2 linked regions of the Bombyx mori genome follow. The main gene of each other region encodes a partner of the protein of the gene in region 2 in a complex. Links are inferred from orthologs where the notes say so. Each region holds a gene or a part of one and is shown on either strand. Other genes may lie near its edges. The genes, in order: ras-related protein Rab-21 and rab5 GDP/GTP exchange factor.

Region 1 (4,565 bases), on a different chromosome or scaffold from region 2:
TCCTTACTGCCTGATGAAATGATTTATAACTTTGTTTTCAACAGACTAATTTAATTCTTATTGTCTGACATGTATGGATATCATTTTATTGATGTTTTTAATACATTATTACACGAAATGGGTTTAAAAAATTATTCTGTGATTATTAACATGTTAGATAATTAGTTGGCTGACTTCGATTTCATTAGGAAGCAAATTTCTACATTTAAGGTTATAATAGTCAATCTGAATTTGGGGCTTCCAGTTATAGAGTGCGTTGACAAAATTATGATACTATGATAAATAATACCTATCCAATTATACCTACACTACACCATGACCTCAATATAAAACCAGTTACTGTGTAAAAGTTACATAATTCGTGAAATCACCTAAAATTATGTTGCAACATTCTAATTAGTAATAAGTAGTAGGTAGTAGTAAAGTAAAGCTGTTTTACAAATCATTTGACTATGTTCGGAGATAAGTTAAAATTTCTACAAGAGTTAGCTGATAAGTCTGCATGTACATCTTCTAAGGTGTTAGGTTAAGTTATGTTAGCTAGTGAAATGGCTCAGCTTCAGCAGAGCTCGAGAGCGCTCAGCGGAGATCTGGTGGACAAGACACGTATGGCGCAAGTCTTTTCAATTATTTAACAACGTTGAGCTGTGGGATGATAAAAAAGGCTAGAAAAGCAAAAACATTTACTAATAAAAAATTTTTTTCGCAAGCTAAAGTATTAAGCTTAAATTACATATATTATTATGTATTGTTTAATCTTTCAAATTTATAATTGTGATGATTTTTCATTATACTTTTAGGTATGTCATGTCAATGAGATATGTTATCTTCACTTCAATATCATTGATTTGACATGATAAAAATTATTCACCCACACAATACCATCCAATATGCATACTTCTGCAATAAATAATTTCGCCGTACGCTATTTATCGCATATGAAATAATATGCAAAAACAAATTACAATAAAAATTTGAAATCTTGACTTGAATAAATAAGTAGTGAATCTTCTTTGCAATTAATTTTGTAGCCAAGATAAATTAATCCTATTAAAACTATATGATCTAAAATTATAAACTCTAATAATAACAAAAATAGTCATTTTAAAATTACAGGTTATCTTAAACATACCCATTATATCCTATTTTTAAACCAAACGTGAATAAAGCAAATTGATATTTATGATTTTGGCAGTGTAAGTGTATCCACCTCCTCTCTCACAGCCCCTAAGCTTATTATGTTTTGGCAAATAATATGTCATTTGATACACTATAGCACTCAAAACACATATTTGTATGACATCTTAATAGAACTAATTTAGAATTTCATTAAGATATACTGTCAAGAAATATCAAAATTCCCATGTCAAATTATATTGATTTGATAAATATTTATTTCTTAAAGATCAGTATTATATATTAAAATAAAATGTTTAATTAACCTAGCTGTTTAGTCATATAACATAATTAAATTTAGTGGAAAATTACAAGTAATCTTGTTTATTGTTAAATTACTATAAATATTTTTCTGTATAGCCACCATAATATACATTGTAAATTATTTTCATTTTTATAGTTTAAAATATGAAAACTATGAATACAAAAAAATCTATTAATTTAGGAACTCCTGTGTCCTGAACAGCAGGTTGATTGCACAGGTACCTCATCATCGACTACTACAACTTGTGATGTTCTGTTTACTTCAGTCTGTGTATTGTGTTCTTGTCTTTCCAACATTTCTCTAGTCAAGTCAAGAAACAATTCTTCAACACCCTGGTTTAATTTTGCTGAAGTGTAATAATGTTTAGCTCCTACTAATTTTGCATAGCTGGAATATATAATTCAATAAAGAGTATTTATCAACAAAATGTATCTTTAGTAATAATATTTAAGAAGATTACATTCATTCTTACCTTTCTGCTTCTTCTAGTGAAACAGTGCGTTCATGTTCAAGGTCTATTTTATTTCCTGCAATTACCAGATTAATATCTGATCCCAACATTTTCTTCAATTCTTTCACCCAATTTTTTACCTATAATTGATTTTATATTGTTTAATATAGTTACAATATTCATTACAAATGTTAAGATACAGTCATTCAAATTCTTATTTTACCTTTCTAAATGAATCTTCATCAGTAATATCGTAAACCAGAATCGCACCATTAGAGTTTCTGTAGTATATTGGTCCCAGAGCATGAAACTTCTCCTGGCCAGCTGTATCCCAAATGGAAAGATTGACACGATTTCCATTAATATTCAACCTTTTATTTAAGAATGTGGCCTACAAAAAAAAAATCCAGTCATAGACATCGACAAAAGGGATTAACTCAGTCTTACAAAATTAGTTCATATACGTCATAGTTACCTGAAGCGTAGTCAGATGCTTTTCGTTAAATTTATCTTCAATGTAACGCAATAATAATGAAGTTTTTCCGACACATCCGTCACCCAAAAGAACTACTTTAAAATTTCGTGCACCTCCAGTCGTAGTAGTCATTTTTTTAGAATATTTTGATGTAAACCTGTTACTTAACTGGTATGTGAGCAAATTAAAGTTAAAATAGACAATCAGATAAACGTTACAACACGAAACATGTAGTCTCAATAACAATTAAATTACGTTTGATAAGCGTTATAAAATGTTTAAAAAACTGTTCACTCTATTTTCAAAACCTTAACTTAAACAAACCTTAACATTAAGTTAATATCAAAATTTCACAACTATTTCATTGGTTTGATTTGTTGATATTTTCGTAATTTTAATCAAGTTGACAAATCAACACTGACAAATGACAGTGAAGAAAATTTTGTATCTGTCAGTATTCAATGTGACAGATACCAAATTTTGACAGTTTATTCTAAAGCATACGGTACAGTACCGTAGGTACCATGACATGGGGTAAATTGGGATTCGGGGGTAAATTGGGACAAACCTGCGGAAGATTCTCAAAGTACTTGTAGCACGGAATCTACCTAATTTTCTTTAAGGTAATATTTATCAATGTATAGAAGAAAAACCAAGTTAACTATGGAAGTACTAAACATGAGTTAAGTTGGTCCCAAAAATTCGTCAAATTAAATTTAAAATAGTGGTTGAAAAGTGCGTTTTAAAACAGCTTAAAGAACTTTTAAAAAAAGTAATATTATCGTTGTTTTTTCAATAAGATCACAGTTTATATAAGTTTTTAATACACCTGGAAATACCACAACAAACGGTAAGTTGCAATATTCTTATTTTAAATACAATATTTCAACAAAATAAAAAATGTATATTTTTTCCTTTCTTTTTGGGGAAAATTGAGACGTATGTAAGGCAATTGGGAACGAGACTGGAAAAATTAGGGACGAGAAAACACAAAATTGGAACGCCAAAAGACAAAATAGGGATGGCTTGTTAGGGTTGTCACTGATATCTTATAATAGATTTTTTAGCCTATACTATCACTTAATTGCGTGATGTAAAGAAGGTTAATGTGTTTATCAGTTAGTTTATGTAAGTATTATAGGTAAAAGAAAAGTATATATATAATTACTTTTTTTTCGCGACATTTACCTTGTAATATCTGCCCGGTCGTATGTTCTTTATAGCAATAAAAAAAATTAAAAGTTAAAAGAACTCAAACGAATCAAAACTTTTGTTATTTCAGAATCTATTCACGCGTCGAATCATGATTTTGTTAACATTCACAACGCACACACAAATAAAAACAGGCCTCAGATTTTAAATGTAACATTAATTAAAAATCCGAGATATCCAATTATGAGTGAGTGAATTAATTGAGTTTAGTTATTTAGCTTAGAAAGAATTTCTTTTATTTTTGTTATTATTGGCAGTAATCAGATAAAGCTGTTTTTTTTATCTTATTCACCTGATATCTTACTCTTGCTCAAAGATTATTTTGAAAATGTTGATTAAATAAAATTGTATTATTGCATTTCCAGTCCTTTTGTTTTCTATTTTTTATTCTATTTTATGATTTTGTTTCAGAATTGTGATTTTTAAGGAAATTAAATAATAATTTTCTAAAATATAACATGCATATACTTTTTTTGATCATTGTATTGTTGATTGTCATTCACGTCACATCGCTTCGGAATAGAAACCAGCTTAATTTACACTATGTTGTGTATTGTGCTTAAATTATGGATTGTATTCATCATTTCGGTCCATATAAATAATTATATGGCACCTACCAATATATCGCAGTACTGCGAGTTGACAACCCTTACAAATATCCCAATTTAACCCTTAACCGTGTCAATTTACCCCGGACGCTGGGTAAATTGGGACGGCCATTATTTTACCGATTATTTCTTTAAAATGAATAATTAAAATAATGTAACGGTTTTTATCACCTAGGTACGTTCAAGACTCAACTTATTTCTTTGGTTGAGCAGTGACTATTTAATTGGAACTATTTTAAAATTCAATCTGAAGGTCGATTTTGTCCCTATTTACCCCATTGTACGGTACGCTCAAATTTGGGATGATATTTTTGGCATCACACTGGAAGAATTAACGTAGTCGTACAATCTTTAATGAACTTACACGATCGTCAATAT
Region 2 (3,829 bases):
TATAATAAATAAATAATCTAAATAGTCTGCATAACATAAACTCCATTACTTACTCATGTAAGTAGGTCATGGCGTGTTTCTCGACGAAATCTATGAGCAGCTCTCTGGCGTCCGAGTCTACAGATGCGTAGTGCTGCGACGTTTCCATGTGCTTCATGAAGCGCTGGGGCGTGAAGGAAAATAATGAGGTACTTTTTTTTAGCATTAGCTCAAATGGACTGTTACACGAGCCCAGGGTCAGAGTGGTCCAAATAACTGTGCGTCAAAAACCGCCTCACATTAAAGGGAAACCATGTGACCTGTAAGAGCATCACCATCCTTCCCATGAACGGTGTTTTTGAGTTCGATACTATTAAAAATGTTGACGTTAAAATGTCTAATAACCCCGGGAGCCACTTAATAATAGGTAGAACGTCTACCCTTCAAATAGATTAAGATATTGCGTACAAGATACAGAGGTAATATCTAAGTCTCTATATAGCCAGGTAAAATGAAATATCACAAAATTCCCCATGTAGAAAGTATTTAAAAACTTCAGTCAGCAGAAATAGGTAGGGTGGTGGTACCTACCCGTGCGGACTCACAAGACATCCTACCGCCAATAATTACACAAATTATAAATTTTGCGGGTTTTTTTTTAAACGATGTTATTCCTTCACCGAGGAAGCCAATCGTGAACATTTTTTAAGTACGCATTTCATTAGAAAAATTGATATCCGCCTGCGGCATTCGAACACTGTTGCATCGCTCGACACGAATGCACCGGACGTCTTATCGTTTAGGCCACGACGACTTACAAAACAGAATCACACCATTGGTACACCAGACAACACAACAGAGAAAAATTCAGTTTCACCACCCACCTGGTACTGCTTCTGCACCCTCTCCGAGAGCTCGTCCACATTCATTATAGCAGCCCATTTTATGACATCCAGGATGAAGGTGTGAACGAAGCCCCTAGCGTCCCGGTCTATCTGGGGGGGAAACGAGGGAAAGCGGACCCGGAAGTCTGCCTTCATACCTTCGAACACTGCGGTCGGAATCTTAAACTCTGGCTGACGTCTTTCCGTTGAGATTTCATGGTCATCTGAAATGAATAAATAGCTATAAATCTTAGCACAATCTCACTTTGATTTTGTCCGATAGATCTGTTCTTGTATTGATTATAATTGTATTGTAATAAATGTAGAGATCGCAGCGAATAAAATAAAACATCATCTTCTGTTATAATAATAATTAATTATTATTTTTTATTGCTTAGATGGGTGGATGAGCTCACAATCCACCTGGTTTTAAATGGTTACTGGAGCCCATAGACATCTAAAACGTAAATGCGCCACCCACCTTGAGATATCAGTTCTAAGGACTCAAGTAAGTTACAACGGCTACCCCACCCCCCAAACCGAAAAGCATCACCGCTTCACGGTAGAAATAGGAAGGGTGTTGTTACCTACCCGTGCGGACTCAAAAGAGGTCCTATCACCAGTAAATAAATTTGAACAAGTATATAAACATATATTCTATTAGTTTATAAAATTACAGTCTTTTTTAGTCTAAAAAAAGGAAAACCTACTCTTCCTGTCTCTTTATAATCAAGGGCATACCCTAAAGTATTAAAATCGAAAAACTAAAACAACATTTTTTGTGTTTACCAAAAAACAAGAATTTATGGATCTTAAGCCACTTTAATTCTAAAGGTGCCATACGACAGAAAAATGAACAAAAACCTTGTATTGTATACCTGTAATATTCTTCTTGAACACGTTAAACTTCAGTAGATTAGTCTTCTTGAGCGTTTCGCTTTGTCGCAGGCGCTTCTCTTCGAACTTCGAGAAGGACGCGTGCGAGGACAACTTGAGGCCGCGTTCGGACTTCCTCTGGTCCGATCTAGGAAGAGTCGATGTAAACGATGAGGCTTTCTCTGTTCGAAATAAAGGACATTCAATAATTAACCGAATCGAAATAAAGGACATTGAATAATTAAACGAAAACATTTCTCGATGTCACACGGAAATAGTAAAAGTTACTTTTTTTCCTTTTTTTTTCCCTACCTATGCTGATAGCCTTGAGAGGCTATTTCAGCTTCGCCCTAAGTACACACTTACACACCTACACAGGTGAGCTCACGGGGCTCAAGCCGCAGTGTTGCTAACACTGACCCTAGCAAGAGCAGTGCTTCGCAGAATCTACCACCGGATCGGAAACGCGACCCACTGAGAAGATCCGGCGAGAAACTCAGTGGGCTAAAGTCACAGTGCGTCGCCTATAATGTTCTGGAAGCTTTCCGTAAGCGTGATTAAATTAAAGAAAAACTATTAATCTTAAAAGAGAACCACGAATGTTTCATTTTGGCATACAAATATTCGTCATCCGTAGGTGTTAACAACTAATTTTCTTATTTATTGCTTAGATGGGTGGCGGAGCTCACGACCCATCTGGCATTAAGTAGTTACCGGAGCCCATAGATATCTACAGCGTAAATTCCGCCACATACCTTGAGAAATGAGTTCTAGTATCTCAGTTTTTACAGTACAACGGCTGCCCCACCCTTCAAACCGAAACGCATTACCGCTTCACGGCAGAAATAGGCAGGGTGGTGGTACCTACCCGCGCGGGCTCACAAGAGGTCCTACCACCAGTAACTACGCAAATTATAATTTTGCGGGTTTGATTTTTATGACACGATGTTATTCCTTCAACATGGAAGTCAATCGTGAACATTTGTTGAGTACGTATTTCATTAGAAAAATTGGTACCCACCTGCGGGATTCGAACACCGGTGCATCGCTACACACGAATGCACCGGACGTCTTATCCTTTAGGCCACGACGACTTCAAATCGATATAGAGATCAATATAGAGAAATCCGTGTTTTTCACATAATTGTTTCCATATCGCCACGGTCTTAATAATTTATATTATCATGATAAACAATATTACGTTTAAAAACTTATCTATCACCCGTCGAGAGTGTGAACTGTTACTGACAAGTTTATTGCCTTGGACGCGTATCATGCTATTAGAATAACTACATTTATCTATATCTTCCATCTCCTAATCAACATATCAATTCATTTTAATTATGGTAGTTTGTTTGTTCGTATTCAAAGAAATTTTGGGCCGGTTAGGGTTGAAATTTGGACCGTAATCATTGATATTGCAGAGTAAATGTCTAGTTTAGTACCATCGACGTCCAATAGGTGGCAATCAAATCGTTTAACCAATATTATCATCATCCATACATCCATTGCTGGATTTTAAAGAGCTCCATCTACTGGATGGCTACTTTAGCAAGTTAACGCTTCACTTATTCTGGGAATCCCCCTTATAATTTGGCTGATTCGCAGTCTTCACTCAAGCAAAATGTGGCCGTGGGAAATAATATAGAAACTACTACACTCGCTGCGAATAATTACATGCGAATAGTAGGTACATTAAAGAACAAATTCGACCCGAGAAATTTCATTAAAAAAAACCTGAAGCAGTTTTATAGGGTGCAAATGCAATGCAAAGGAGGAGTGTACAAACGTTTCCAAGAGTACCAACGGCTTAAAATAAATACGTACTGAGAGCAAGTTGACAAATGAGTTACAGCCAACAACAAAAAAAACGAAATGTCTGGTAAGGAGTATCCAAAGCACGCACGGCCTATTTCTAGAAGCAATAATGGATTCCTATCCGAATGGTGGAGCAGCCGTTGTAAAATACAATCGAATTTTCGACAACACCTCGATCTGGTTAATGGAATACAAGTCGTGAATACAGTAATGAAAAAGAAAGATTGTGCCTAAATTTGTGTCCTTAGTGCGAGTTTTTAACGTTCTCGATA

What was found.
Region 1: the proteins of rab5 GDP/GTP exchange factor (region 2) and ras-related protein Rab-21 are in contact, whole or in part, in a crystal structure (PDB 2OT3), measured with the Homo sapiens proteins. The link is inferred for Bombyx mori from reciprocal best matches to the Homo sapiens genes RABGEF1 and RAB21. Residues at the interface, in NP_001273991.1 of Homo sapiens: Leu253, Cys254, Lys296, Phe299, Asn300, Lys303, Pro309, Ala310, Ser311, Ala312, Asp313, Phe315, Leu316, Pro317, Ile320, Leu347, Met348, Thr349, Gly350, Glu351, Gly353, Tyr354, Tyr355, Thr357, Asn358, Cys360, Cys361, Ala364, Phe365, Ser373; in NP_055814.1 of Homo sapiens: Ser19, Phe20, Lys21, Gly26, Glu27, Gly28, Lys32, Thr33, Leu37, Thr50, Thr51, Leu52, Gln53, Ala54, Ser55, Phe56, Ala71, Trp73, Asp74, Thr75, Ala76, Gly77, Gln78, Arg80, Phe81, Leu84, Ile87, Tyr88, Asp91.

Annotation. Positions count from the first base shown.
Region 1 is NC_085107.1:9,454,170-9,458,734, reverse strand, and holds ras-related protein Rab-21, read right to left. Parts: upstream 2,834-4,565; 5' UTR 2,700-2,833; coding exon 2,692-2,699; exon of another isoform or gene 2,525-2,691; coding exon 2,368-2,524; intron 2,284-2,367; coding exon 2,116-2,283; intron 2,033-2,115; coding exon 1,914-2,032; intron 1,829-1,913; coding exon 1,618-1,828; 3' UTR 31-1,617; downstream 1-30. UniProt on the Homo sapiens protein: The small GTPases Rab are key regulators of intracellular membrane trafficking, from the formation of transport vesicles to their fusion with membranes.
Region 2 is NC_085116.1:16,256,772-16,260,600, reverse strand, and holds part of rab5 GDP/GTP exchange factor, read right to left. Parts: intron 1,922-3,829; coding exon 1,742-1,921; intron 1,088-1,741; coding exon 864-1,087; intron 164-863; coding exon 54-163; intron 1-53. UniProt on the Homo sapiens protein: Rab effector protein acting as linker between gamma-adaptin, RAB4A or RAB5A. Involved in endocytic membrane fusion and membrane trafficking of recycling endosomes. Stimulates nucleotide exchange on RAB5A. Can act as a ubiquitin ligase.